Caenorhabditis elegans: one gene and its partner. The protein of the gene in region 1 purifies or fractionates together with the protein of each later gene. This does not show direct contact. Each region holds a gene or a part of one and is shown in the gene's direction. Other genes may lie near its edges.

Region 1 (2,962 bases):
CTTTGTGATCTCGAATCGTCCGCTAAAGTTGTGCGATCATTCTGCCTACTCGGAGTTCGATTACACCAAATCGATAGTTCTCTAAGTGCTCTTCGAGCCATTCCAATTGTGGCGGCTGCGAATGGCATTCTACCACTACCGACCAGCTCCGATGCAATTTCGGAACCGTGTCCGGGTGTTCCAAGTAGATTTTTGTCTGTTACCAATGCAGTGAGCTCGATGCGCCCAACGTCAATTCCTTTCAGTCCGATTGTTTCGTCACGTGTAAATTGAATCTTGTCGGTGGTTCCCAGTTCAGCTTCATCGAGTAGAAAGCAGGTTTTCTCTCCGTTGTTCTGAAAATAAATGTTAATTTAAAGAGAACAGAAATTCCTACTAACATTTCCGAAAACGACGTAAAAGTTGGCATTGTGATGACCCATAACTCGGATGTTCTGACCATTTAACATTGATTTTCCACCAGGTCCAGCTGTTTGTTCACAGACTCCTCCATTCGTATCTTTTACAATTGCAACCGCTGGTCGAAGCTTTCCAGACCCAAGAATTCCTAAATACTTGGACTTTTGTTCATCAGATCCATAAATTGTCAAAATGTTTGCGACAAGAAGAGAAATGTGTGAAGTTGTGTATACATTCCAATCTACACTGAGTTCTTCGAAAACTTTCGACAAATCCTTATTACACATGCCGATGCCGTCGAAATATTTTCCAATAGCCAAGGAAAAGATTGCATTCGAGCGAAGAGCTTCTATTGTATCTGAAGCTAGTTTCCCTTCTTTTTCTATTAATTTCGAGTCAACTGATAATTCAAGTGATTTCCGCAACACATCCACAAACCCTTCAATATTACGCACATCATCTGAATCTGTGTATTCTGGGTAGATCATGAAGTCCTGGAATGATATGTTCGCATAAACTTATATTTGCAAAAATTCAAACCTTTTCAAACTTATTCATAGCGAAACCTCTCGACAAGCTCCTCTTCTCGATAGACGAAGTATTGTCGAGAGTTCGAATAGCAAATTTACTGAAAAAAATAATAGTTTCATTATTTCTGAAAAAACATTACTGAATAATACCTTTTCTCACTTATACCAGCCACTTCTTTTGATTTTGCTGCATCACTGAGACATCTCACATTGCATTTATGCAGTTTTTGTAATCGGATCAACGCCCGATGCATCTTAATTTGAGTTTTAAGCAAAGAAACAGCGCTGAAAAATTCAAAAATAATATGGCCGGGAAAATTGTTTAGGGTAAAAATCGAGTTTTCTCGGCCACGGCCACGAAGTATTAACGCGCTAATTTCAAATTTTGAAGTATCATTTAATCACGCCCAGTCTCGTGGTGGACCCGTCCGGAAAAATCAACGTGCCTTTAATCTCGCGCATCTGAGTCTCTACTTTTTACATGTTCTCTCACTTGTGAAGAGTACGGTATCACGATTTCTAGACGCTCTAGGTTTTATTTTTATAATTTTGATCTAATATTAATGCGCACTGATCTGAATTTCGCCGCCAATTATTTTAACATGATTTTTCCTTGTTGACAATTCATATTCATTTCATTTTTTCACATCTACGAGCTTTTTCTTATTATTTTAATTTTTATCGTTCTCTCTTAATTTCCTCTCTATCTTTTATTTATCAAAATCGAATATTTCTTGCAGATGCTTGCGATTCCCAAAACTCCAACCAGGAACATGAAAACACCTCAGGGGAATACAAGCGCCAGCAGACGTGAAGTGGACACATCGATGAGGAATCGGTTCGAGTTTGCCGGATCTTCGCTCAGAGACAGGATTGGGTCAATTCTATCCATGGATCAGACCCCACGTCCGGCAACTCGCGCAAATATCTTCATGGGACGGACACCGACACCGGCCAGGCACCTTCCGGAGAGCCGAAGAATGTTTGTGCCGGATTACACTTCAACGCCTGCACCTACGGCTCCTCGACAGGAATTTCGCTTCGAAGACTTGTCTCGGATCGTGGCACCTCCAATTGAGCAAACCTTCATTCAGCTGGATTCCGATGGAGAGCTCACTCTTCCCGCTGAATCATCAATTGCAGTGTCTCCACCACCGCGACCATCTTCTGAGCCTCTCCGCCATCTCAGCCAAGTCTCGCTGTCAGCTCGCCCAGCTTCAACGGAGCCTGTAAGAAGAGACGTACACTGGAGAGTGCATCCTTCGGCAAAGGTTTGTGTTTAAGAAACAATAAATGTGTTCTAATAAAATGTTTTCAGATCCGAAAATGCACAGTGCCGAAGACACCATCCTTCGCGAGGCCAACGAAGTCGTGGCTGAACCGCGTTAATCGCGAAGACTGATCGCCAATGCGATGATTCCTGTTAATTTATTTTATTTCTTCATTCTTTGTTCAATATTAACTACTAACCCGGTCATTTTTTTCTGTAAATAAAACCGGTTGCTCAGCTAATTGATTTCACATCGGCACCGACGGCACCGATACATTTTAAGAATTTTAAATCGCGTATTCGGTTCAAAACCTTGAATGCAGTGTTCATACGCAAACAGGAATTTGACATGTAACCCGGATTCGCTGTTTGTTTCGTGCACAATGTGGACACATTTCTTGTTGTCATCAGAAACATTCTCAGATAAACGTTTTCGCTTCTATTTAGAAGAAAAAAGCAGATATATTTAGAAATGGCGCTAGCTCCCAACACGACATAATTAGAAATGCTTTTTCATCTAAATAGCAGAGCTTTTTAACTAAATAGGTCTACTCTTTTCTAAATATAAGCGCATTTTTCTTCTAAATATGTCTACTTCTTCTAATTAGAAATACTTTCTTCTTCTAAATAGTTCTACTCTTTTCTAAATATAAGTGCGTTTTGCTTCTATTTAGACTCGGTTTTCGCCTCCTATATAGACTCGGAATTTTTAAAAGTGAATTTTTGGAAAATGTGATTTTGGATTCCGGAAAAAAAAAAAGAT
Region 2 (3,758 bases), 1.5 Mb from region 1:
AAGTTTCACGCATTTTTTTGACGCTTTCGAAGACTTGTTTCAAGAGTTTCAACTGATTACTTTCGTCGTGTTTCTCATTTACAAATTCGGCATACAAAAGATCAGAAACCAAGAGGGCAGTTAGTGAATGCGTACTCTCCGTTAACGATAAAATTGAATAAATGAGAGGAAGATTTTGACAATCACCGGCGGCACTTCGAACTCCTTCTGCACAGAGAACCGCTTCCAGCTGAGATAGAATTATCTTTTCAGCGGCATTTTCCTCTTCCGAATGGGGAAACGTGGAACCCTTCAGCTCTGATGCGAAGGACGCTGCCTTTTGTAACCTGCAAAAATTGTAATATTTTTTTTTAATAAATGAAAAATATTACCACAAAGCAGAGCATTTTCGAGGAGGATGCAATAACATTTCTGATAGCTTTTCTATGGCAACTAGAAAATAAATGCGATCCCGAATTTCAATTTGTTTTTCTCGATTTGAGCAAAGCTCATCACATTTTTGCTCGATTCTTTCAGCCATACCAACAGATTCTCTTGTCGACTCCTTGAATTCATCCCATATTCTCTAAAACTTAAATTCGACGTTTTGTAAAAATAAATTCTAAATTTACATTGATATCTTGTTCGATTTTATTTAGTGAGTCTTGGAGGCTGACCAAGTTTGACGATAAATGGACAAAATCCGCATAATCATCGTTGATAAGCTCGATCATTGAATTTTGAACACTTTTCAAGTAGAGGCGTAGATCCTGCTGAATTGTTTTGAGATCAGATTTTCTGAAAACCAATTTTCAATTCTCCATTTCATTTGAAATAAAAACTCACTGCCTTGCCAAGTTCATAAATCGTTCCACATTAAAATCTTCTCGATTGAAATGGGTCTTATTAAAGCATAACTTCGATTCATCGATATAGAAGGTGTTTGGCGAAGCGAACATAGTTTTCTCGCCATGAAGTGTACCCATTTTAAAAATATTTTCAAAAAAAAAAATTGTTTCAACGTTTTCGCGTGGAACTGTGTGGGAGGAGTCAAAATGCAAGCTTGGCACGCGATTTCGCAACTCTCTCGCACGAGACTTGTGAGTGTAAGTGCGCTCCCTTTCACAAGGCGCTTTAGTTTAATTTTTGAAAAATAAGAATTAAAACAAATAAAATGAAGATTTTTTGCATTTACCTTATCGAAAGTGTTGAAAATTATAATCTAGTGTACATGAGAGTATTAAAGCTTTTAAAATGTAGAAAGCATGAATTTCTGGGCAAAAAGAAACTACATCTGAAAACATTTTTGATACCGTAACATTTGAAGGAGCATAACTAAACGTATTTCGGTCTCGTAGCGAACGCGCAGAATCCGCCGCGGAGGCGCGAAATTTTGATTTTTTCTAGGTTTTGTCCTAAAAATATGAAACTTTTCATTTCTCTTGAATTTTTCTCAAATTTATAGTGATCCTTTTATTTTCCAGCTCGAGATTTTTTTAATTTTAAACTAGCGATGCCCGAAGTTCTTTAAATTCATAAAATCTAGTCGATAGTGCTATTTTCTTCATCGTGTTATTGATGATTTATTTTCCTTTCTTCAATCATTCACCGCTTTACTATTACGCTTTCAAATAATTTCTCATTTTCAGAATGTCGCAGTACATCAAGTGCTACGGCAGGGTACGCCCGTCGGCACGGCTTGGGGCACCTTCCGAGTCTCTCTTTGTGGGAGGACGCGTTGTGACGATTGAAACTGATAATGGATCCAAAAGATATGAGCTCCATCATATCTTTGATAGCTCTTCATCACAGGAGGACGTCTTTGGAACAGTCGCGAAGAAGATTGTCGAGGATTGTGTGGAAGGCTATAATGGGACCGTGTTCGCCTATGGACAGACAGGGTAAGTGCTTCCAATGTAGTTTGAGAAATGAAAGTTCGATTTTCAGTTCTGGAAAAACCCATACAATGCTTGGTCCTTGCGATTCATGGACTGACCAAGAACTTATGGGGCTCATCCCTCGATCAGTGGAACACGTTTTCCAGCATCTGGACACGAAGGCTAAAGAGTGTCAAAAGTTGACGTTCTCCGTTTCTGTTGAGTTTGTTGAACTCTACAACGAAGTCATCTACGACCTCTTGAATGCGAAGAACAAAGTCCAACTCAGAGATTCGGGAAAGGACATTCAGCTTGTTGGAGCCTTGTCGAAAAACGTTGATAACCCGCTCGACTTGATGCATTTGGTCCAAAAAGGTTGGCAGGAAAGAAGCACTGGCTCGACTGCAATGAATGCCGAATCGTCAAGATCACACGCGCTGCTCATCATCAGGATCAAAACGCAGGAGCGAACAGGAGAGCTAGTCAAGGAAAGGTCATCTATCCTGAACCTTGTGGACTTGGCGGGATCGGAGCGTCAGACGCATACAAAATCAAGCGGAGATCGACTGAAAGAAGCGACAAATATCAACTCATCTCTGACAGTGCTAGGCCGTTGCATCCGTCTTCTTGCCGATCCTTCGAAAGCTAAAGGACACGTTCCATACCGCGATTCTCATCTCACTCATATTCTGAAGAACTCGCTTGGTGGCAATTCAAAGACGGCTGTTATCGTTAATATGCACCCGGATCGTGATTTTGCACAGGAAAGCAACTCCACCTTGATGTTCGCTCAGTCGTGCACGATGATCATGAACATTGCCACTCGAAATGAAGTTATGACCGGCGACCAGGAGAGCAGCTACAAAAAAGCCATTCAAGAACTACGCCAAGAGGTTGACGAAACGCGGGAAAAGGTTCGGACGGAATTCGCATCACAGTTGGACGAAGCCGAAGTTGAACAACTTCGACTGAAGACAGAAAACAACTCCTTGAGATTGGAAAACGTCGATCTTCGTGCAAAGTATGACTTTGCTCTTCTGAAGTACACGATCGGATCAGAAAACGAACAGATTGTTAACGAGTTCAAGAAGATCATCAGTGAATTCAGTGCCGCAAATAGCAGTTCTCCATTCGAATGCATAGCTCTGAAGAATCAAACGGTATGTTAATTATTCTCATCATTTTGTGTAAATATGAGAATTTTCAGCTCCAATTGGAGATCGAAGCCAGCGAGAAGCGATACCAGGAGCTGCAAAAGGAGACAAGTGCTCTGCGAAATCGCTATCAGGAAAATCTGGACGCGACAATCTTGATGCAAACACCGTCGGCAAAGGAGAGGAGGAGCAGTTCGAGACCCAAACGCCGGGAGACCCAATACAGACCTTCACCTGCACGAATGGCTTTGTTCGCTGAAGTCGAAACCTCGGAGGATGCCGTGCTCGACCTACAATGTCAAAACGAGAAGCTCAGTTGTGAACTGAGCTCATTGAAAGACAAGCACGAAGAGGCAACGTCAAAGTCAATCGAGACGGAACGATTGCTTCAGGGAGAAATTGTTGCATTGCAAAAAGAGTAAGATTTATTTGATATATTTCTCTCACTATCAAGTGTTTCCTTTTTCAGAGTTTCCATTGTATCCGAGAGTCTGAGGAAGTCCGAAGCAGTGGCCGAGGGATACAAGGAGAAAGTGACAGCAAACAACTTAACACTCGATAAGTTGCTTCTCCATATTGATGCTTCGAGAAAACGCATTGCTGAACTCGAGTTGAGCAGCAAGGAGAGTGAAAATCGATCGAGCGAAGAATTGGAGGGTAACATTTAATTTTTAATATTACTCAGTTTTTACGGTTCTTGTTTCAGAACAACGTTTGTATTACGTCTCCATGATTGAAGATCTCGAAA

Evidence for each region. Proteins that work in one complex are often made in the same cells at the same time.
Region 2: the proteins of mesp-1 (region 1) and klp-18 purify together in Caenorhabditis elegans (affinity purification with western blotting, with the first as the bait; one study listed by BioGRID). This does not show direct contact.

The regions. Positions count from the first base shown.
Region 1 is NC_003282.8:8,497,641-8,500,602, forward strand, and holds mesp-1 (MEiotic SPindle), read left to right. Parts: upstream 1-1,669; 5' UTR 1,670-1,702; coding exon 1,703-2,200; intron 2,201-2,247; coding exon 2,248-2,331; 3' UTR 2,332-2,436; downstream 2,437-2,962. Other genes in the region: acdh-13 (Acyl-CoA dehydrogenase family member 9, mitochondrial), read right to left, coding at 1-335, 381-893, 940-1,027, 1,080-1,183.
Region 2 is NC_003282.8:7,038,583-7,042,340, forward strand, and holds the start of klp-18 (Kinesin motor domain-containing protein), read left to right. Parts: upstream 1-1,628; 5' UTR 1,629-1,629; coding exon 1,630-1,880; intron 1,881-1,926; coding exon 1,927-3,016; intron 3,017-3,063; coding exon 3,064-3,428; intron 3,429-3,479; coding exon 3,480-3,667; intron 3,668-3,716; coding exon 3,717-3,758. Other genes in the region: cogc-2 (Conserved oligomeric Golgi complex subunit 2), read right to left, coding at 1-326, 372-565, 612-777, 826-965.